Tamandua tetradactyla: one gene and its partners. The protein of the gene in region 3 interacts with the protein of the main gene of each other region in a pairwise test. Links are inferred from orthologs where the notes say so. Each region holds a gene or a part of one and is shown on either strand. Other genes may lie near its edges. The genes, in order: PGBD1, ZNF446 and ZNF496.

What was found.
Region 1: the proteins of ZNF496 (region 3) and PGBD1 interact in binary tests that used the Homo sapiens proteins (3 or more experiments, as listed by UniProt). The two-hybrid records come from large-scale screens. The link is inferred for Tamandua tetradactyla from reciprocal best matches to the Homo sapiens genes ZNF496 and PGBD1.
Region 2: the proteins of ZNF496 (region 3) and ZNF446 interact in binary tests that used the Homo sapiens proteins (3 or more experiments, as listed by UniProt). The two-hybrid records come from large-scale screens. The link is inferred for Tamandua tetradactyla from reciprocal best matches to the Homo sapiens genes ZNF496 and ZNF446.

Annotation. Positions count from the first base shown.
Region 1 is NC_135331.1:194,888,124-194,896,097, forward strand, and holds the start of PGBD1 (piggyBac transposable element-derived protein 1), read right to left. Parts: upstream 3,089-7,974; 5' UTR 3,021-3,088; coding exon of another isoform or gene 3,006-3,020; intron 2,311-3,005; coding exon of another isoform or gene 2,193-2,310; intron 182-2,192; coding exon of another isoform or gene 1-181. Other genes in the region: ZSCAN26 (zinc finger and SCAN domain-containing protein 26), read right to left, coding at 1-181, 2,193-2,310, 3,006-3,020.
Region 2 is NC_135342.1:176,442-184,527, forward strand, and holds the start of ZNF446 (zinc finger protein 446), read right to left. Parts: upstream 3,002-8,086; 5' UTR 2,922-3,001; intron 1,896-2,921; 5' UTR 1,856-1,895; coding exon 1,514-1,855; intron 1,437-1,513; coding exon 1,244-1,436; intron 1,033-1,243; coding exon 938-1,032; intron 157-937; coding exon 72-156; intron 1-71. Other genes in the region: uncharacterized protein LOC143658493, read right to left, coding at 6,891-8,086. UniProt on the Homo sapiens protein: May be involved in transcriptional regulation.
Region 3 is NC_135346.1:61,784,731-61,792,276, forward strand, and holds the start of ZNF496 (zinc finger protein 496), read right to left. Parts: upstream 3,092-7,546; 5' UTR 2,881-3,091; intron 2,677-2,880; 5' UTR 2,455-2,676; intron 1-2,454. UniProt on the Homo sapiens protein: DNA-binding transcription factor that can both act as an activator and a repressor.

The DNA of each region.
Region 1 (7,974 bases), on a different chromosome or scaffold from region 3:
ATTTTCCCACATTCTGAACATTTATAGTCAGTCTTCTCACTGGGGTTGGCCTGCTGCCTTTCCAAGTTAGAATCCTCATAATGAGCTTCTATGGGCTCAGATAATTTCCCAGATGATTTCACTGATCCACAAAAGTCTGTCTCTACAACCAGCCTTCTATTCTCAGTCCTCATCTCCTTATCTGAAATATTAAGATATACCACCAATCACATGTTTTATTTAGGCTTAGGGAAAGGAATCTATAAACTAGGAGGGAAAGTTTAAAATCAAACATGTTTGAAAAGTGAAAAATATGTATGCTTGCATCTGTATAAACTATATAAGATACATAAGAAATTAACAGAGGTTGCCTTTTATTTTGTGATACATGCATGCACATACATAAGCTAGCAAACAAACAAACCATCTTAAAGGGTACAGATGTACATTTTTGAAAATGGTTTGTCACAAGGAGAGTAGAAAAGCTAGCTTAGTTAAGGACTGGAATTCATAAGAAAGGTATGGCAAAGGGATAACCCTTTAACTGAAAATGAAGAAATGTAGACTAATTTTATCACTGAGAATGAAGTTGCCTCATGAGGGTAAGAATGAGTTAAGGAGAGGGAATAAAAACAAAAAGGGAAGCGAACTCTGAAACTAAAAACTAACCTGAACTTTGGACATAAAATACAATATTCAATAAGATCCAAAAGATACAGAATATTTTCAAGAATATAGTGTCATCACATTAATTCTTCATATTTAAAATACATACCTATCATTACATGGCATAAATTCCTGCAAGATTATTCAGAAAAGTTAAGTCCATCTCTTTCAGCTACTTTACTCAGAAGGCTCACAGAAGGTAACCCTTGAAGCAGACGTGGAAATTAAATAGGGAAGTAGCTAGTAGGTAAAGGACAGTTTTATATATAATACCAGCCATTTACTGAATAGACATTTACTGAGTGTCTACTCTAGGCCAGGGACTGACTCAGGAAACAAAACAAAATCCCTGCTGGGAGAAAAGAGGAAGTAATGCCTGGGGAGGGGGGAAAGCAAACCAGCAACTATAATATAATATAATCAGTTCTACCACAGGAGAAATCTTGGGGCTCTAGGAACATAGGTGGAAAAACTAACTCAGCCTTGAGGATCTTAAGGAAAGACAGAGGAAACGATATCGAAGATAGGTCCTGAAGAATGACTATGTATTAGCCAGGAAGAGTGAGGAAAAAGTGTTCCAGACAAAAGAAACAAGGCAGCAATGACTCAGAAGAGATAGGAAGCACATGGGAAATGGAATGAACCTCAGCATGATGGGAACACAGTTTGAGCATGTGTGAACTGAGGGGTTTCCCAGGACGTTAACAGTCTTGACAAACTGGTCACCCTAGTGACACAAGGCTGGGTAGGGAGCCAATAGCGGCCCATGCTATGTGAGGCCTTGGTCAGTGGCAACGGGGAGTCTCTGAAGGTGGTGTTTTTTTCCCCTTACTTTTGTTTTTTACTTTCTAGTATAGAATTTTTCCAACATCCAAAAAAAGTAGAGAAAATAACATTACCCAGCACTGAAAGATTTTAAACATGGGAGCCACCTTACTGAATTTGTGTTTAAATTATGGTGGTTAAGTTTAACATCAATGGGAGTACTATGATGACACTAAAATAAAAAGAGAAGTGGGGCTCTATCAGAATAGAAGGAAGAAAAGAAAAATTTAAGGAATACAAATTGGATAGAGGAATTTTAGTGACAAAGAAAATATAGTAGAGAAAAAAAATCCTGATGACATTTAGAAATAAAAGACAGTAGCCACTTATAATAATTTTAAGGAGATAATAAGAAAATGAATAATATAGCCTGTGGCTGAGATTGTTTGCCTTCTGTGAGAAACTAACACTACTTTCTCTATCCTCTCTATTGCAAAAGGAAATACTATAGAAAAATTATCTCTATAGTAAAAGGAAGAAAAGCAAGCTACTTCCCTATCTGATTTCCAAATCTGCTCCAGTCATGATCATATGACTTATCATTTCACATTTGTGATAACTCACTGACCTGTACCCTTAAAAAGGGTGAAATTTCCTGTATGTAAACTATACCTCAATAAACCTGATTCCAAACACAGTATCAAGGGTGCTAAATCGGCCTCAAGTGGGGAACGCAATGGCCACCACATCTCACACAACAGAAGATGCTCTCCATTTCTCACCCTTCTCTTTTTCAGGCCTTTGAACTTCACACTTCGGCTGGACCTGCTGCTCCTGCATTGCTCTCACAGGGGCCATCTCCTCCACAGGTATTTTCTGTTTCTTTGTCTGGTCTGGGTCCTAGGGACAATTAGGTACAGGAGGGCTTAAGAGGGAACTGCTCTTTAGAAAAACACTTCAATGTTGGAAAAAAGAACAAAGACAAACCTAAAGGAGCAAAGAAAAGGAGATGAGGAATCTGGAAATTATTCAATTCAGCCTCCTCACAGCAGAGAACAGATAAGGTTGAGGTGAGACCCCCAGAAATGAACAGCCAAACTGGAAAGAAACTAAACAAACAAGTTTAGCAATTCTCCCACTGGTCAGAGGTCTCACTTCCTGCTTTTATGTGAAAGAACAAACCTGACCTTTACCACCTCTTGTCCTGCTTCTCTAAGCTCTGGCTCCAAACCTTTCAGTACAGTGCCTGCATCCTCCCCGTTCGCTGGGTGATGCTCTCACACCTGGGCCCACAGCTCCTCGGGCAGGATGCTTAGGGACGGCTCCAGCACCAGCAGCTCCAGGATCTGCTCCTTGCTGGGATCTCAGGCCACAGCCAGAAGGCGGAGCTCCTGGAGCCAGCTCAGCGCCTGTCGAGGTCCTGAGGTCTCTTCATAGTGGAACTGCCTGAATTGTTTGCACAACATCTCCTGACCAAGGTCTTTGCTTTTTCTTTGCAGCCTGAATTCCTGTTCCCAAGCAGAGCAGTGATCCTCCCTCACTACCCAAAGCCCCTCCTCCTTCAGATTCTGGGGAGCCAGGGGGCGAGCACTCACCTCTACTGTTGCCATCTCCAGCTTTAAACTGCTTTCTCCGTTTTAGAGAATTTTCTTTGGATTGTCTCCTCAGGGATAGTCCTAAACATGTAACAATAAGAGTTACAGAAACAGTAATAACAGTAGTAATAACAACAGCAATATTCCCTTCTTGGGTTGATGCATTTCCAAAAGCTACTATCCTTTTTAATCTCTTCTAAACAACCATTCCTAAAAAAAGGCACATACAAAAATGACAAAACTCTCTTATAGAAGATTGCCAGCTAATATAGAAGGAATAATAGATATACAAACTCATCATTTCATAGCCGTAAATCATCTAGTGAAGTACCACAAATGATTGTTAAAACCACTATGTGAATGGAGTAGGGGTCCAGGACATTCCTGCAGTATCAAAGTATCACCACATGGATTCTTACTAGTTACAAAAGGAAAAACTGGAATTATCTGGCAGTCACAAACTTAGCCAAATGATCAAACTTAGGAAATTACAAGTAGCAAGACAATCAGACATCATGTGCCTCATTACCTATGTAGCAATTTTTCTAAAAGGCTTGACATGAATTTAATAGTGAGGAAGCTTTTGAATTAATCCAGAATGTAGCCCTTTCTACAAGAGGCATGGACTGTTCAAAACCAACAATTCCACAAAAATAAAGAAAAGGTATGGAGAGGGTACAGGTCTAGAATTACAGAGAAAACTAAATGCAATCAATGTGTGAAATATATATATATATATATATATATATATTTTATAAATTAGGGAAATTTGAATATTATGATTTGGGGTAGGCAAACTATGGTCCAGCAAGTCAAAAACAGCTCAAATCTTGTTGAGCATAAGGTCTTACTGAAGCACAAGCTATACCCATTTGTTTATATACTATCTATGTCTGCTTTTGAACTGCAATGGCAAAGTTAAGTAGGTGCAGAAATTCTATGACATGCAAATACAAAAAAAATTTACTGTCTGGCCTTTTAAAGAAAAAGTTTGCCAACTTCTTTTTAGTCTTTTCTGAGGGATAACAGTTTTGTAGTAAATACGAGAATATTTTTATTCTCAGGAGAATGCATGCTAAAACTTATCTTCAAATGTTTCAGGAAAAAAGTATGAGTGGGTTGGTGTGGAGAGAGTGCACAAATATAGCAGGAAATTCACTACTACTGCTAAATGAGAAGGTAAATAGGTACTACTCGTAGTACGTCAACTTTTCTGTAAATTTGAAATTTCTCAAAAAGTTGGGGGGAAAGACACAAAGACACAAAATAAATACAGTTAATTCTCATTATTTGCAGTAGTTGTAGTCTATAAAGTTGTTGTGAACAGAGAATTAGTAAAAACTGAACCATTTCTCCTAAGGGAAATCCAGAGTTAGGTTCCTGTGAGCCTCTGGTCACCATATTCTCATCAACCAAATAACACATAGTCTTGTTTTATGCATACTTCTATTTAAAGACACCTTATTTGATATATATTGTTGATGCATTAACATTGAACTCATGGCCAACAGCACTGTAATTCATGCCCTAACAAAGCTCATATAACACATGTATTTTCTCTAAGGTACATCACAGCCTTCCTGTGCTTAGGGACATAAGACAGCTTTCATTCAGGGCCACTTTAAGCAAAAATTAAAAAAATACAAAAAAAATAGTACCAAATACACAACAAAAACGTTTTTAGTATGAGAACTGAACAAGGAAAGCATCACCTTGCTTGATCTTGGCTGGAACGTGTACAGGGTGACTCATATTTTCACTCTTTATGCATGTCCACAAGTGATTTCAAAAGCACTGTGAATATTGATTTGGGGATTACAAATATATTTTAGCAAGTTGGTGAATTCAAAAATATGGAATCTGCAAATAATAAGAACTGACTGTATACTATTGATATATGAGCTAAAGCTAAATCAATAGAATTAACTAAAAGAACACAAGGATTTGCATAACTCATCTCATTTACAATCTGTCTACTACCTACCAGAATCTCTTAGATGCTGGGGACACAGAGGTGAAAGACAATCCCCTAGCCTCAAACAGTTCTCTGCTTCTCAGGACACCTCAGGGAAACAAGCAATTGCAATTCAGTGCACTGAGTTTTACTGTGAAGGTATGCACAGGATGCTAGTAGGCACAGAGGTAAGATACCTAATTCCTCACAGCAGATCTGAAAAAGCTTGGAGGTGAATCCTTCTAAGTCTTAAAAGAAAAGTGAAAGGTGGTCAGGTATAAATATGGTGAAAAGGTTTTACAGAGAGAATGGTTTTGCATTAGTGTGGTACCTTTGTTACCACTGATGCAAATTATTATACTGTTAACTACAATCCATAGTTTACATCAGGGTTCACTCTTTCACAGAGATGTTTTGAGGTAAATGAGATAATAATTGTGAAGAATAGGAATTCATTGATTTATAAATGGATTTATAAGACGGCAATGATCAAGAGTGGGAAATGCTATAAGAAAGTAAATTAAACTGAGACCTGACTTATTATCCACTTGATTCAAAATCACAGAGGTCACTGATGACTTCTTTGAAAGCAATTTTAGTAGAGAAATGGAGAGAAAAGCCAGATTGACATGGGTAAATGAGAAAATGGAGAGTGAGCAAAAATTACTCTTTTCAAGAAGTAAGACACTGAACAAAAGGAGAGAGACAGGCCAGAAGTTAGGAGTGTTTGTGACTTCAATTACTGTCTTTATTCTGAGGATTTCCTTATTTTTCAGTCCAGATCTATCAAGAGTGCCTGATACATGTTTCCTTCTGGTTATTTGGTATCTAGACACCCTATAAAAGCCTCTCAAACACAGCATAACAAAAAAGAACTCAGAAAATGGCACCACCACCATCCCTTGGAGTAGGCCCTTGGATACTTGGGGATTTAGCATTCTTGATTATAACTACTCGAGTGAGTCTGAAGAAGAATGAAGTATTATCCACCCACTGCTGATACATGTCTTTGAATCGGTGTATACTTGGAGGAGGGAGGGACTCACCTGATTAGTGACTACGCCTGATCAGAGTCAAAATACATCCTATTATGTATTCACGAACCTGCACATAGTAAGACTCCTTAGCTGATAATTTTTTTTTGTCAAAAATGGACTTATAAAAAAACCAAAACCTTGAGGCAAAATGAGCCAGAAACAAAAGAGCAAATATTATATTATCTCATTTAGATTGTAAGCTCCTACAGCAGTCAAATTCAGTCCAGAGTGGTAATTGTTATTTCTGGATTTTAAGAGGCTATTTTATATATGTATATAAATATATATATGTTATATATGTTATATATATTTATATATATATAACCTGATATTTAGAGATAAGAATGAAGCTGATCAGATTGGGATTAAGGTAATTCAGAATACAGGGGTAAAGAAGACATTGTCTACATTTTAGAACCATACCTACTCTTTGACACCAAAGGAAAAAAGGTTTATTTTGTCTGGAACCTAAATTTTTCTGTAGTACATAATATAAGAACCTGTCTGGACAGCTCACTTGAACAACTGAAATACAGGGAACCCAGAATAAGAATGAGGGCCTTTAATCCTGTATAGTTTAATGTAATGCCTGTATACATCCTAAAATACAGTAAGCAGATAATCAAAATGTACTGACAAAGTCCCTTGAGGAAAGGGAGAAAAAATATGGAAATATTAAACTTTACCATTAGGAAATTATCTAATACTGTGACAAACATTAGGGACATCCAAATCAATAGGCCAAGCCCTTGATCTGGAGGCTTGCTCTTGTGAAGCTTACATGTATAGGGGGGAAGTTTAGCCTATCTACAGGCATGCCTAAGACTTACTTCCGGACAACCTCTTTTGTTGCTCAGATGTGGCTTCTCTGACTCTAAGTCTGCAAGGGAAATAATTGCCCTTCCCACTACGTGGGACATGAAACCCAGAGGAAAAGTCTCCCTGGCAGCATGGGAGAGACTCCCTGGGATGAGCCTGGCCCTGGTACCATGGGATCAACAATGCCATTCTGACCAACAGGGGGAAAGAAGTGTAATTAATAAGGTTATCAGACGGAGAAGATGGCAGCTTAGTAAGAGGCGCGGGTCTTAGTTCCTCCTCCAGAAAAGCAACTTAAGAAACAGAAACAATAGGAAACAGCTCCCGGAGCCACAACAGAGACCAAAAAGACAGCATACCCTATTCTGGAACGGCTGAATGGGCAGGGAGAATCCGCTGTGGTGAGATACCCGAGGGGCGCGCGTTTTCCCGGCCGGGGCGGCTGGCGACTGGGGTCCCCTCCACACACGTGGCTCCCCGGTCTGACTGGGAACGTTGGATAGCGGGGCCCTCCCGCCACGCTTGGCGTCTCGGGCCAGCTGGGCAATTTGGACCGGCACTCCCCCAAGCTGCGGCGGCCGGCGACCCCCCCACTCCACGCGCGGTTTCCCGGGCCGACTCCGAGATTCGGATTGGCAAGTTAAAGGAGCCACGGCATCTTTTACTGGTGGGCCCGCAGACAGACGAGCGCCACGAGCGCCACCTACTGGGCAGGAAAAGAAAAACAGAGCCCAGAGATTTCACAGAAAAACCTTTCAACCAGCTGGGTCCCACACCCAGGGAAATCTGATCAAATGCCCAGACACCAGCAGAAAATAATGGATGACGCTCGGAAAATTGAAGATATGGCCCAGTCAAAGGAACAAACCAATAGTTCAAATGAGATACAGGAGCTGAGACAACTAATGCTGAATATACGAACAGAAATGGAAAAACTCTTCAAAAACAAAATCAATAAATTGAGGGAGGACATGAAGAAGACATGGGCTGAACAAAAAGAAGAAATAGAAAATCTGAAAAAACAAATCACAGAACTTATGGGAGTGAAGGACAAAGAAGAAAAAATGGAAAAAACAATGGATACCTACAATGGTAGATCTAAAGAGACAGAAGCTACAATTAGTGAACTGGAGGATGGAACATCTGAATTCCAAAAAGA
Region 2 (8,086 bases), on a different chromosome or scaffold from region 3:
CTGCAGACAGGCGGGGACTGCCGGGCCAGGATGAGGCGGTGAGGTGGGAGACACGGCCTGGGGGTCCTCACCCAGGGAAACCACCGTCCCGTACTTCTCCAGCATCGCGTCCCAGTACAGCTCCTTCTGCGAGGCATCCAACTGGCTCCACTCCTTCTGCGGAAGGCACCCTGCTCACAGCCAGCCCATCCCAACCTGGACACCGCGCTGGGCTCTCCGGGGGGCAAGAGGGCTAAGGCTGGAACCCAGACACGTGGTCCTACCTCCCCGCCTGGCTACACTCGCCCCATGTTCTACCGAAGACCCCTAGACCAGCCCTGGGGACCGCCAGCGCCCCAGGCAGCAGGGACAATGTGGCGAGCCCCACCCACCCCTCCTGCCACTCCAGCCTCAACAGTCACACACAGGGGCAAGTCAGAGGACATGCAGGACCCCCCCAGGCCCCAGCAACTCGCCACCTCCCTCCAAGCCTCTCTGCAGGTGGCAAGCGCTCCTGGGCCTGGGGGCTGCTATGGCTGTTTAGACTTAAAGAAGCCCCCAGGAAAGGGCCGGCTGTGAGAATGTCCCAGGAAGGGTGGCATCTCTGTGCTTGCCATGCAGAATTCCCAACCGGGTCAGTCACCTCACCCCCCTCGATGCCAGCACAGCGCCAGGCACCTGAGAGCCTCCCGCCTCAACCACTGGAGTTCCAGCTACTCTAACCAGTTTCTGTTGCCTGTGCTGAAATCCTTTGCCATGGAAGAGAGGCTGCTGGCCTGCCTCCCTGTCCCCAAGGGCCTGCTGACAGCGGTCCCTGCTGACAGTGACCCAACTCCCAGGCAGCGAAGAACCAAAAGCTGCTGGCCTGGGGTCCAGGAGAATTGGGAGGATGTGGAGCGGCCACCAGGGACATACTCCTCCTACCTGGGACCTCTGAACCTCCCCCAGGGCTACTCACCTGAATCCTGGGTGGGAGACAAGACCCAGAGGCTGGCTCTTCGCTTCCAACACATCCCTCAGAAGGCCGGACTGGAAGCGGGGGCCCTGGAGGTCCTAGGGAGCAAGTTGGGCAGAGGGGTAGGGACTGCCCATGACAGCGCAGGGGAGGGCAGGTGTTGATGCTACTACTCCAGCCTTCCCCAACGGCCAGGCAAAAGGCACTGCCTGTGCCAGCCACATGGTGGGCAGCAACCCTATGTCCCTCCCCAGGACCCCTACTCCGTTCCATCCAGGAGGCCCCAGCCCCTGCGCAGGGCTCCCTCACCCATGTCCTGCCGGTTGGCATCTGGCTCCTCCTTCACTCCGAGCTGGCTGGGCTTCTCCCCTGTGCCCTGTGTCCCCTCCCGGGGGGCTGCCTCAGCAGGCTTCACCATCCCTGAGGGGTGGGGGCTCCCCAGGGGTTCCTCTGTCTTCTGGGCTGCTGGGAGCACCTCCAGGCCCAGCACATGAGCTGTGATCTGTGGAAGAAGAACTGAGTCACAGGGCCCCTGACCTCGGTCTGTCCCTCCAAAAAACTAGCACTGGCCACACTCACCCAGCCCAGCAGCTGCCCTGGGTCATGCTGCAGCCCCTCTACCAGAGCCGTGGCCTCCTCGGGGCTGTCTGGGTGCTGCTCCCGCACCCAGGCCTGGATCTCGCGGGGCAGTGCGCCCAGGAACTGCTCCAGCACCAGCAGCTCCAGCATCTGCTCCTTGGAGTGCGCTTCGGGCCGCAGCCACTTGCGGCACAACTCGCGCAGCTGGGCCAGGGCCTCGCGGGGACCTGCCGCTGCCTGGTAGCGGAAGTGTCGGAACTGCAGGCGCGCGGCCTCGCGCTCCTCCAGGGTGGCCATGGGGTCCACTGGGGACAGGCGCAGGGGACCCAAGGGGGATGGCATTTCTGTGCTGCGGGTCTCTCTTGGAGTCACCAGGTGGGACCTGCAGAAGGGGAAGGGTCAGGATGCCAGGCAATGGGCTCCCGGCCAAGCCCAGAGATCTGAGACTAAGACAGAAAGAGGACCCTGGGGCCACAGGTAAGGCCTGGGAGGCTTCGTGGACGGGAGGGGGTCATGGGAATCAGAGAAAAAATAAAGCCTTGGGGCCGTATGTCCAGGATAAGGTGTCCAGGGAGCTTCCAGGAAATTGCACACGCTTCAGTACAACCATGGACTGTTGGGAAATAATGGCCCGCAGGTGAGCAAGGAGAGTCCCCACCGGCCTTGGAGATTGGGCTGAGGAGCCTCAGAAGGTGTTGGGCAGAACAGGGAGGAGAGTGAATATTTGGGCAAGAGAATGAGGGACAGGCAGATCCAGAGTGACTGGGCGCTGGAGGGGGCAGTAGGTGGCATGTGCGGGCCGGCAGGGCAGCGGTGGGAGTGGCGCCCGGAGATGCCAACCCAAACGGGGCATCCTGAGGGGCTGAATGTCCAGCCAGAATATGGAACACGGGCTGGAGAGTCAGGTGCCCCCAGGGAGACGACGGGACGCCGTTCTTGTAAACACGTGAACTGTGGGTGACTCGCAAGGCCTGTGCGTGTGAAAACGCAAAAGCAAAACAAATCAGAGCCACACGCTTGGCGTGGGGTTGGGTCAGCCCCAGCACCCGGACTTGCAGAGAGGGCTTGCGGGCGGGAACCACCCCCACCAAGTCTTTGCTCTGCTCTAAAAGGAGGGATGGGTGCAGTTTTTAAGCTGAGTTTTAAAAAACTCTCCCCTCGCCCAACTCCGGACGGGGGCGGAGAGATGAGCCAGAGGAGCCCCCAGCCCGGCCTTTCCGGGGGCTCTGCTCCCGAGGGCGCCCGAAGCACCGGGGAGGGGGTTGGTCGTCACGGAGAGGGGCCCAGGGCTGAGGAGGGACGGCCTGGAAAAGGGCGCGACGCGACCCAAGAGGGAGCTCCGGAGCGCGCGAGCCAAGAGTCCCGGGGGGAGTGGGCCGGCCGCGCCGCCCAGCCAGCCCGTGCTCACCTCAGCCGGGGGGCCGGCGCTCCACCGCCACTTCCCGGACCCGGGACTGCCCGACCACCCGTTCTACGCAAGCGCACCGCCCTTCCCGCCCGTTGCCATGGCGACAGCGCTCTGGCCAATCCCGCGCCTGCTCGAAGGCCCCGCCCCCTTCGAACTACATTTCCTATGAGCCTCAGGTAGAACGCAGAGGCCTGGCCTTGGCCGGTGGGCGCGAATTTCTAGAGCCCGCTCGTGCTTGAGAGGCGCGTGCACGCGGGGCCTGCAGGTCACAAAGTTTGGGAGTCCCATCCCTCTCCGGCGGCTCTCTCCCCGCGCCCCCGAGCCCCGGGCCTCACCAACACCGACCCGGACGCTGCTTTGGGACGCTGCGCACGTGCCAGACGGGCCCGGCGCCGATTGGCAAGCGCGTCTGACGCTTGCCCAATCAGAGCCGGCGCTCCTCCTGCCCCGCCCTAGCGTCTCCTTGGCAACCGCGGTTTCCGCGGAAACGAAAAGCGTCCCGTGCGTTCCCGACAGCCCGAGCTGGCTGCAGCGCAGCTTCGGGGGCATGTGGGTCGCGGGGCAGGTGGAGCGGGCTTGCGGAGACCGGCCTGGCCGCGGTGTTTCTCGGTCGCCCCGGGAGGTTCTCCGCCCCAGCGTAGGGCGAGGAGGCGCTGGGCTTCTTTATTCGCCCCCCCGCGGAGTGCCACATGGATGTGAGGGAACTCGGTTGGGCGCCCATGCACTGCTTCAGCGACTACCTTGGCCCTCACGTAGGCCACGACCTTTCAGGACATTAACAAATACATGACATTCCAAAATCATAGTGGAAACGGGACGGTGCAACGGTGGTTCACTGGTAGGATTCTCGCTTGCCATGCTGGAGACTCTGGTTTGATTCCTGGTGCCTGCCCATGCAAAGCAAACAAACAAACAAAAACCTAATAATAAGAAATAAGTAAGTAATAGAAAACAAAATAGTAAAAACAACATTGTTTCACTGACTTTGGAAAATGGGGAAAGGTTTAAAGTTAATCTTACCGCTCAATTTGCCCCTGTTAAGATTGGGATGCTTTACTTTTTGTTTTTGTTTCTCTATTTATACATTTTTAATAAACATTTAAAGTCTAACTTATTTTCGGTGAATACGACACTGTAGGAAACACAGGCTCTTTGCAATTAAGGGAAGACTTAGAGACAAATGCGTTTGGAAAAGAAAAGACACTTATTTGCCAAGATGAGCTTCTCTGACTCTAGGGAGATTGACTTCCAAAATGAGAACACATTAGTTATTTAAAAACTAAAATTAAACTAAACTAAACTTGCAGAATTACCAAGGTGATCAAGGTTGTATTGTCTGTAACGGCAGAAAAGGAGCACCCCGGTCATGTGATTATCCCTCACAGTCTCTGATGTCTCTGGACATCAGCCCTGCAAAGAGAAAGATGGAGATTTCCATTCAAACTTTTGGTGAGAGACTGATTTATTTCGGGGACTAAAACTAGTTTATCTCAGTGCATAATTAAAATCTGACTATGAGATGGGATCCTTTTTTCACCTGTATATCAAATGGCTGAACCATGGTTTATCTGTCCTATCCTACATTGCATTTGTCTGTTTTGGCTTCCTCTGATTCCTGGAACTCCCTGGCTGCTTGCTTTATGGTGAAAAGCAGTGATCTTAAACACGGATGGGAAGTGCTGAGTCCATGGGTGGGTGGGACTTGCTAACTCTGAGCCTCCCTGTGGAGTTATCAGGGTGAACTCTCCCGGGTGGGGGTGGGGGGAGGATCTCAACAGGAGTATCTTGAGATCTCTCCTCTTCACTATGCAGATTCCTCAGAAATGCATCTTCCACGTCCACCAGGTGGGGAGAGAGCCGGAGATGGAACTGCTTCTCAAGTAGCTCTCCCTGTCTTCTTTGTTGGTAGTCCCTCTCCTATTCCTGAGGTGCTGGAGCTGCTGGTTCACAAGCCTTCTGGAATTTTGCCTGGTGGGACCTCCCTGTACTCCCCTTAACGCCAACTCAGTACTTGGCTTTTTCTAAATCAGTGACAGTTCCCCCACCTGCTTCCAGCTGCAAAATGATATTGCCATTGACTCCATCATCTTCAAACTTATGGGCTTGTGTTTTAAGCACTCCCTTTTCTGTGGTTTTAGAGGTGTTTCTGAGCTGAGTGAGAGGCATGTGTTCAGCCCACCATCATGACCCAGAAAGCCCAGGGACACTTTCCCAGTAAAGGCCTGTTCAGGGTAAAGGAGGGCCCACCCTGGCAGGTCAGGGCCCAACCTGACAAGAGTAGGTGTGTATGGGGGGGACAACTGAGGACCCAAGACATGAAGGTGAAGCACAAGTGGGATAGAAAGAGCAGGCGGGTGCTCATGGGTGCTATTGGGAGTTGAGGCAGTGGACACAGACTTAACCTGGGTAAGCCAAGGGGCAGCAAAGGCAGAAGTGCAGAGACAGGAAGGAGCTCTACATTCGGGGGTTGGTGGCTGGTAGGGAGAGAGGAAAGGGCAGCTGAGCCCAGCCCAGATGTCGACAGAGGGTAAGGAGGACTGAGGACAAAGGCCTGGCTTCAGGAGCTTCCATCCAAGGCACAGAAAAGTTCCCATATGACTCACTCTAGGACCTGCTCTCTGATCTATAAGGTGCCTCTGCCCCCAGAAGGGGTGGGGGCTCCTCTAGATTTCACAGCTGTGCAGATGGAGGCTGGTGGGACCAGCCCAGTGAGGGAGGCCAGACCGGGGTGGGAGGTGGGCAAGACTGAGGTTTAGACAGGGCGTGGGAGACAGGATGGTGGGCCAGGGACTCCCGGAGCCTTGGGGAGTCAGGTGCCTCCCACTGCTGGGCCCACTTTCCTTGAAGGGCTGCGATTCACGGGGCAGGTGGGTCTGGCCTGGCTGGCAGGTAGGGGTCAGGCTGAGTGCTCCTTGTGGACAGGGATGGTTCTGCAGTCTTGGGGCTGATGAGTCATGAGTACCACTGAGCTGGGGTCAGCCTTATGCAGTCCTCACAGGTACACTCCACTCCATCAGCACCAAGCAATGTGCAGCTCTGCCTCGGTTCTCTGCCCACCACTCTCTCCCTTGCCCTGGGGCTGAATCATGGTTCATTCCCAGGAGAGGGGCGGCGATAGGGCCACCACCCCACGGCCCATATGGCCACTGAAGGAACACAGGCTTCCTAGCCCCTCCGTAGGCAGCAGACCAGGCCCCGGGGCCTCTCTAGCCCGAAGCCGAACCCCTGAACCTTTGTGACAATGACACATATCAGTGGCAGGCCTGCAAATGTTGGTTTAATGTCTGCATTGTGCTAGTGAAACTGGTGTCAGGCCGTTATCGTCCACACAGAGCTATAAAGAAACCTTTATTAAGGGAGCATCTTTAGACTCTGGACCATACCTTGGAGCTGGATTTCTGCAAAGCCATCAACACTGCCCACCAAAAAATCACAGCTTATATCCATTCCAAGCTGTGAACCCTAGTCTTGCCCCTCCCCTCTCGATCTTAGCACTCACTGCCTGAGATTACGGCCCCCCCAGCTAGGACACAGCAGCTGCAGACCACAGGAAGCAAACTGGGCTACCACCACCTGGCTCAGTGCCCAGGCTCACCGGGGGAAGGGTGTCGGGAGCGTGTCTCTGGAGGCGGTCCCCCACTGGGGCAAGTCCTCCCAGTTTCTGTCTGCTCTCCAGCACCTCCCCTGCATCAACGCCAGCGCCTCCGATCAGGGCGTGAGAGTGCCAAGGCTGATCCTGAGTCTGACCTGGAACAGCAGAGTGGGAGAGATGTGGCCGCTGCTGAGGCCCCAGGAGTCCTTCTTCTGGACTGTTTGTCCAGTGCAGAGAACCACAAGCACAGGCCCTGGCCCCACCTTCCACTAATGTGGTCAGCGCCAGGGCCGGGGGTCCCAGGCTAGCATGCAGGACGGACGGGGCCTCCACGCTGCAAGTGGTGCCCCGCAGAGGACGGGCTCGGTCCGGAGGGGTCAGGCCTCGGGGGGCTTCGGGCCCGGGGCCAAGCCTGCGGCGGAGCTCTGCTCCGCACCCCTTGCCTGCGCAGCCTCAGTGGCGGGGGCCGGAGTCTTGGGCGGCGCCCTGGCCCGGGACCGACGCGCGGGCTTCTCGCCGGTGTGGGTCCGCTGGTGATGGAAGAGGCCCGGGCGCTCCCGGAAGGCGCGGCCACACTGCGTGCACACGAAGGGCTTCTCGCCGGTGTGGATGCGCCGATGGCTGAGCAGCACGGCGCCCTTGGCGAAGGCCTTGCCGCAGTCGGCGCAGCGGAAGGGGCGCTCGCCCGTGTGCAGCAGCCGGTGCTGCGTGAGGTTGGAGCTGTGGCTGAAGGCGCGGCCGCACTGCGCGCAGGCGAACGGCTTCTCGCCAGTGTGCACGCGCTGGTGCTTGAGGAGTGACGAGCCCTGGCTGAAGGCAGCGCCGCACAGCGCGCAGGAGAACGGCTTCTCGCCGGTGTGTGTGCGCTCGTGCTGCACCAGGTGCGAGTTGCGGCAGAAGCGGCGGCCACAGCGCGCGCAAGCGTAGGGCCTGCCGCCTGCGTGGATCTTGCGGTGCTGGCTGAGGTTGGAGCCGTGGCTGAAAGCCTTGCCGCACTCGGCGCAGCGGAACGCCTTCTCGGCCGTGTGGATGCGCTGGTGGCGCACTAGCGAGGAGCTGTGGCGGAAAGCCTTGCCGCACGCCGGGCACGCGTAGGGCGTCTCGCCGCTGTGGATGCGCTGGTGCTGCGTGAGGTGCGACGTCTGGCTGAAGGCCTTGCCGCACTCGGGGCACTCGTAGGGCCGCTCCCCGGTGTGCGTGCGCAGGTGCTTGAGGAGGTCGGAGCTCTTCACGAACACCTTGTGGCACGCACTGCACTCGAAGAGCTTCTCGCCGGGCAGGAGGTCCGGACCCGCGGGGGCTGCCTCGCCCTGCTCGTCCCCGGCCGCATGGCCGGCGGGGAGAGCCTGAGGCTCGTGCCAAGTTGCCCCGGGGGGAAGCGCCCTGGAACCCTCAGCGCCCTCGGCACGCACAGCCCCAAGGCCCGGGCTGCAGGGGAAGGCTCTCCCGAGGGTCTCGTCTGCTGGCGCCAGCGGCTGCTGCCCAGGCTCGGGCTGGCCCGCGAGCGCATGACTCCACACAGCGGGGACGTGGGCCTTCTGCCTGGGCCGGGCCCCCTCAGACGCCCCCAGAG
Region 3 (7,546 bases):
AAACCTAAGTCTCTGGACTCCTGTTTCTCTACCATAAAAATAAGTATGAAATGATGGATTGTTGACTTTGGACATTATATATGATGCCCAATGGATGGAGTGGCTGAAGGATACATTTACTGAGAAGCAGTATGGCAAACTATGGTGTATACATATGACCGAATAAAGTTAATGAACCTTGGGGACATTATGTGGTGCAAAACACCTATGAGAAAACTGGGGCCTACACTGTAAGCTTTTATAGTGGTTACATTTAGTCTAGAGATCTTAATATTATTTATAGAATTTGAGATTCTGTGCTCTATATATGTAACCTGTTATATCCCTAGAACGCTGGCTACCTGTGTGACACCTAAGACTCGGGAGTTGGAGTTCTGCAGCTCTGAAAGTCAGCATTGCTACATACAACAACTGTTAAAGAAACCAAAAAGAGATCAGGCTTCAATTAGGGATAAGAACAAAACCGAAAGAATCAGGACCAAGGTAAATCAGAATCCAGGGGTAAGGAGGACAACTGTCTGTATTTCAGAATTTCACCTATTCTAGGTGAAGGAAGAGAGGTTTATATTGTTCAAAATCTAAATTTTCTGTACCATATAATCTAACTTAACCAGTCTAGATAGCTCAAACTCAAACACAAGGAGCCCAGAATGGGAATGAGGGCTTCTAATTCTGCATAGCATAATGTAATGCCCAGATACATCCCATAGTATGTCGGGCAATGTCCCTTGAGGAACGAAGAAAAAATATGGAACTATTAAGTTTTACCAAGAGGGAAACTTTTATACTGTCTCAAATATTGAGGGAAACCCCTTATACTGCCTCAAATATTAGGGACTCCCAAATCAATAGGCCAAGCCCTTGATGCTGAGGTTTGCTTTTGTGAAGCTTATTTCTGTAGTAGAGCTTAGTCTACCTATAGCAATGCCTAAGAGTTGCTTCCAGAAAACCTCTTTTGTTGCTCAGATGTGGCCTCTCTCTCTTTAGGCCCAACTCCACAAGTAAAATCATCGCCCTCCCACTATGTGGGACATGATATCCAGGTTGTAAAAGTCTCCGTGGTAATGTGGGACATGACTCCCAGAGATAGCCTGATCCTGGCACTGTGGAATTAATAATACCTTTCTGACCAAAAGGGGGAAATGTAACAAAATAAGCTATTAGTAGTTAAGAGCGCTCAAATAGAGTCAAGAGGCTATTCTAGAGGCTACTCTTATGCTAGCTTTAGCTAGACATTGCTAACTACCATGGTTTGCCAATCCCTAATGAAAACCATTCCCGTTAACTCTAAAGAACATCTAGGGCTTTATGTGAGATCTACAAAAGTTTCCAAAAGCCTACAACCTCCAAATGGGTTCCTAGGCCAGATAAGTCCTGAAATCCAGAAGGGCCAGCCTCATCAAGAATATCAATTAGTTCCATTCCACTCTCCCAGATCACTGATACCCATTTTCAACATGAAACAGAAAGGGGAGAGTCCAAATACCCCTAAATATTGGGAGAAAGAGGAGTTATAACAGAGAAGGTAAAATTTAACAAATGAGTATGACTTCTGAATCATTAGATTGATATTTCTTTTAGTTTCCAGAGTCTAAGAGCAGCTAAAAGTAAAAACCTAAAATTGTGGAACTGTAACCCATACCAAACTCTGAAATCTGTTCTATAACTACATGTTACAATATACTTTGAAATTTTGCTGTTTCGTATATATATTTTGCAATAGAAAATGTCTGAAACAAATAAACAAGCATGAATTGGAAAAGAGGGGTCTGAAGGTCTCTGGCCAGCTGCTTCATCAGCTTACCCAACTCCTAGACTCCCTTCAGTTTGCTCTGGTGTCTGGAATCCAGTCTGGTCTCCACCTTCCCTGAGCTCAGCCATCACCAACCTGTAGGGCCCCGAAGTGGCCCTCTCTTTCCCACAATTCCCTCGGGCACTCAGGTCGGCCCCTACTCTGGCAGGTTGGGGGGACCAGTCCCACCTTCAGCTCCCAGGCCCTGAAGAGCTGCCCTTTGGGTAGCCTGTGGATCGCCTGGCAGTGGCGTTCTTCTCTGTCACTCTGGCACCTGGCTCACAGGAGACTCAACAGCAAATGCCTGATGAATGAACTAGTTAATCAGGGAAGGGTTCCTGAACAGGCATGTTTAAAACAGCTCTTGGAGGAGGACCAGACCTGGATTAGCAGAACAGAAAAGGGAGGGCATCTGGGGCCCGAGAAAGGTGAAAGCCTTACATCCCATTCTCAGACAGACACATTTTTTCCTCACACACCCATACACACTCACACACACCTCTGCAACACGCATCCTCCCTAGCACACACACAGTCTCACAAACCCACACACATCCTCCGGCGCTGGAGAGCGCGCGCGCCCACACACATATACATCACCTACACACACACACACAATTCCTCATGCACACCCGCAGCTGCAACCGGCTCCAGGACTCTCACCTTACAGCCTGCAACGCCTTCCCAGCGTCTAACTCGAATCCTTCCCGCTGCGGTGAAAGTCCAAGGCAGCAGCTCCTCATCCTCCCAGCCCAGGCTCCTCGGCGTCCTTCCGGAGGCGGATTCTCCGCAGGGGCCCCGACTCCTTCCCCGACTCCGTCTCCTGCACGTCCAGAAAGCCGCCTCTCCGTCTGGGAGGGAAGGACTGGGAGGAAATGGAGACGCCTGGGGAAGAAAATAAAAAATAAAAACCAGTAGATTTAGAGTCCCTCCCCGCCCGCAGACGCCCGGACACCCGCTCCGGGATGGGAGGCGGTGCTTGCGCGGCTGGGACCCGGGGCCGGGCGCGCGGAAGGGGCCGAGCCGCGCGGGCGCCGAGCGGGGCGGGACGCAGAGACCCCGGGCCAGGTCCGCGCGGCCGGCACTCACCGCGGCGGCGCGTCCCCGTTCGCGGGCGGCACAGGCCTGGCGGCTGCCGGAGCCCGCCGGACGCGGAGGAAAGGAAAGGCCGGAGCCCTCCGGCTCCCTCCCCTGGGACACTTCCTGCTCCGCTCTAGGACGGGGGAGGTCTCCGCATCTCAGTGGTTCGCTCCCCCGCCCCCCGGCCGAGGTGTGCGCCGGGGGTGACATCCGACACCCCCGGCCCCGGGCCCGCCCCGCCCCGCCCCGCCCCGCGCGGGCCCCGGGCCTCCGCGCCCCGGCCGGGGGCTTTGTCCTGCGCGGGACCCAGGGCGCGCCGCGCGCCGCCGGGCCTACCGCGGGCGCAGCCCCGGGGGTGTGGTGCGCGCTGGAAGGGCGGGAGGCGGGAGGCGCGGAGGGCGCGGCGAGGGGCGGCGCGGTGGGGTCGAGCGCCGCGGCCCGGGGGGGCTGGTGTGGTGCCGTCTTACCGCCGCGCCGGGAAAGCTTCGGATCCAGGAAGGTCTAGGTTCTTATCTGCCTCCCCCATTTTGCCCCGTGCAGTTCCCTAAGGGGACGCCGGCGCGTCGCCAAGAACCGACCCCGGAGCAGCGGCTCCACACCGAATTGGGAAGAGCTGGACGGGGAGCGCAGGGAGGAGCTCCGCGGCTCCTTGGGCGGCCCCATTTCTGAATCGCCCTCGGCGCTTTCCTGACGCGCTTCAGCTACTTCTTCCCTTACCCACCGAGGCAGGCCCAACCCACCTCCCGGTTAAAATGTCCCTTAAAAGCCTAGTCGGCAGCAGCCCACGAGGAAAGGAGTGGAGCAGATCAGATACCCTCTCTGCTGCCCATAGTCCCACGCTGTAGGGAAGCCCGAGGTCTCAGCCTTTCTCGGGGTGACACCGATTACTGAGATTTTTACGTTTCCGGGGTTTCACAGTTCAGGAATACCCACCAAATCGTCCTTCTGAGCATTAGAACGACACGTGGTGTGGACAGAGGGGCTGCCATGTTATCGGCCCAGAATGGGTGGTCGGGGTGCTCAGTCACTGCTTAATAGTGAGGGTTCGGGATGTTTCAACTGAGGAGGACGCAAAGATTAAGGGGCTCCATCCAAAGTCATCTTTGGTGAGGGGTGAACAGGGCTTAGAGCTTCCAGCTTTATTCAGAGTTGTTTGCCCCCAACCTGCGCAGGTGAAATATAACATAAGGGCTCTGAGGTGTCTTCCTAATTTCCCAGTCTTGGGAGTGCTCTGGAGAAAGCTTTGCCCAAGGGCCTGAGAAGGTCCGATTCCCAGGCAGATGGGAAACCACCTCCCCTTCTCTTTCACCATCATCCTGCAGTGAAATTGCAGTGTAGGAGAAGATACAACAGAAAATCCTCCAGCTGCCACAAGCAGACTGGATTGCCGTGGTTTCGTTTTCTTTCTGACCCTGTTTCAAGGGCAAGGAGAATAAAAGTTGTCCCCCAAAAGAAGGTGGTCTGGCCAAGAAGGTTTAGGGAGCATGAATTTGACAGGCCAGAACCGGGTCCGTCAGCAGTGCTGCTCTCCTGGTGTCCTTGCTTCAGGAGGCCTCCGTCTGTCTCTTCCTCTACAACACAGGCGTCCTAATCAACAGTTACTGCCAGCTACCATTTGTCAAATGCCCAGATTCTGTGGCTTTAACAGCAGATGGACTAAATCGAAGAAATGAAGCTCTTGTTCATGAAGAGTCCCCAAAAGGACAGCCAAAAGTGGACAGAGTCACTTATCTTATCTTACCTGGAACAGGAGAAAACCAGTAAGAAAGGCACGTTTCTGATTTAACTGGCCTCAGCTTTTGCAGTATTCAGGCACACTGCTCTCAGAGGAGCTTCAGCCAGGCACAGCTCCTTTCTCCTACTTCTCTTCTTCAGCAGGAGAGATCCAGGGAGGAACCAGGAATACACAGCTGTCATCAGTGAAGGCCGAACCTACCTGCCTTACCTAGTCCCAACCCTGTGACAGCCAGGGAACCAGCTTACCAGTGTTTGGGACTTGGGCACGCATGGCTCTGCTCTCTGCAGGACAAAGGCAGAGAAAGTGCAGGGCCCAGAGATTGTTGGTGCAGCACAGTATCAGTCCCCACTGCCCAGTCCAGTTTCTTCCCTGAACTAATACCTCTCTAGGCAGGTGACCCCCTCAGTGTTAACCCTTTGTAGTACAGAATACACCCTTACTTTGCATTTCTAATTATTTAGCTCAGCAGGGTGGTTAAGAGTCTGAGTCCTGGGTGACTTGCCACTTCTAACTGGGTGATGCCAGACCTGTTAAACTTTTATGTCACTTGGTTTCCTTGTCTGGAAAATAGGAATGATGCTATCTACCTTATTGGGGGGCTGGGAAAGTTCATTCATTCGTTCAACAGACATGTATTGAGTACTCTGCAGTAAAGAATTTAATCCAAAGCGAGGTTGGCCTTTAACCTCAGCTATTGGGAGGTGATCTCTAGGCCCTTGGGATGTCCTTCCTGATACCAGTCTAACCATGTGATGTATGAGGTCAAGGCAGGCATCTCTGGAAAGGTGACTTTTGAGGTGAGGGTGTTTATCAAGGTCATAGCTGTGTTAACAGGATCCCAAGTAGAGGCCACAGAGACAGGAAGGCAAAGACCCTGAGGTGGGCAGAGCAGAGCAGCCAATGAGAGGGGAGAGGGACATCGGAGAGCTCAGGGTGGGGTACTAAAGGCTATGGGAAGGTGTCTTCCTCTGTGCTAAATGTGGTTGAAGCAGATACCACAGGTAAAGATAGGAATACCCCCCACATAAAACCTGCTCAAACACTCTCAGCCACCATCAAATTTATATCTGTATTTGGCTTTATGTTGTTGAGTTTGCATATTTTTGTGAAATATTTACTGTGTGACAGTGATGTTTCATCCTCAGAGACACACCATAATAGAAGAAAGATCCTAACTTCAAGATTTAAGAAATGGGAAGGGGAATCAGATAATGAATAAATGACTATGCAATATAATGTCATTTGGGATAAGTACTATGAAAAAATTGCTGAGAGGTTAGGTAGGGCACCTGTGATGAGATGACATTTGAACAGAGAGCAAAGTTGAGTGGAAGGCAAATCTTGCCGGTGTGTGCAGGAAGAACATGCCAGTGGAGGGAACGGCATGTGAAAAGGCTGGGGAGAAGGAGTTTGCTCAGCAATGTCAAAGAATGGCATGAGGGCATTGAGGCTGAAATAGCCAGCACAGAGGACCGTGGAGGTGATTGGAGTTTACACTCGGAAGGTTTCAGGTAGAGGCATGCCCTGATTTGATTTTCATCGTAACACGATCACTGTGGGGTCAGATTGGAGGAACCAGAGTGGAAGCAGGTGCCCCATTAAAAGCCATTGCAGAAATCCAGGTAAGAGGTAGTGGTAACTAAAGAGTTGGCTGGTAGAGATGGAGATGGAGTTAATGAGCAGTAGCTGGATTCCACAGGGCCGAGAAGATTTCCTGGATGGTTAATGTAAGGTGTTAGAGGAGTGAAAAGTGGATCTATATTTTGGGTTTGGATAGATGGAGGAGTCATCTTTCAGTTTGGGTTGTTAGAAAAAATGGTTCTGGAAGGAGTTGCGAACCATGGTTGGTTTTGAACTTGTTGATTTGAGATGCCAATACCTAAATAGTGATGACTCTCGGGAGAAAGCTGAAGCTGGCGGTGGAAATCTGGGAGTCACAGCACATAGCTAGAATTGACTCCTGGGATTGACTGTGGGGCCCTGATCTTGAATGAATGCCAAGTAGAGAAGCAGCCCAAGGACTATATCCTGGTAAACAGCAATATTGAAACACCAGGCAGAGTGAGGTAGAGGGACACTAGGGGAATGTGCTGCCTTGGAATCCCAGAGAAGCAAGTGTGTTTCAAGGTAAAGGAGGTGTCAAGGATGTTAAATGCTGCTGTGAGATCAAATTAGATGAGAGAAACCTGGTCATGGCATTTGCGAGCAGAGGCCCTGTGAGTGGAGGGAATGCAGTGGGGTGACTGGTTCTGCAGAGAGTTTTGGAGAGAAAGAAGAGGTGAGGAAGTATTGCGAGTGGGGCAGAGACAAGTAGCTAAGGGAAGTGGGGTTTCGTCTTAAAAATGGAAGAAGTTTCAGTGCGTGACCAGGATGAGGGAGGGGATGGGCAAGAACAGGAGCTGGAGCCGGTGGAGGAGATGGGGTCCAGAGCCCATGTGGAAGTGCTGCCGTGGAGGGAGAAGCAGGAAGGGCAAAGACTGGGGACCAAGGCATGTCAGTAGGAAGTGCGATGGTGGGACAGTGGGAATCTGTGCTAGCTTTTCCTGTGTGTGTCTAGGCTCCAGGAAGATCCTCAGCCAAGAGGGAGGAGAGCATGGTGCTGGTGGGAGCAGTGCGCAGAGCTGGAGAGGAAAGTGTGAGGCTTATTTCACAGAGTGAAAATGTGATTTGAATGTAGCAAAGGAAATAACATATTATGCATAATATTGAAAGTGAACTGTATATAGTGAAGTGCACAGTTTTAGTTTGCAAGTGTGTGCCGGAATGCAATATACCAGAAATGTATTGGCTTTAATAAAGGGGATTTATTATTATGTTACAAATTTACAGTTCTAAACCCATAAAAATGTTCAAATTAAGGCATCCAGAGTAAACCTTTCTTGAGTCAGAAGGCTGATGGTTTCTGGAACACCTCTGTCAGCTGGGAAGTGGTCCTTT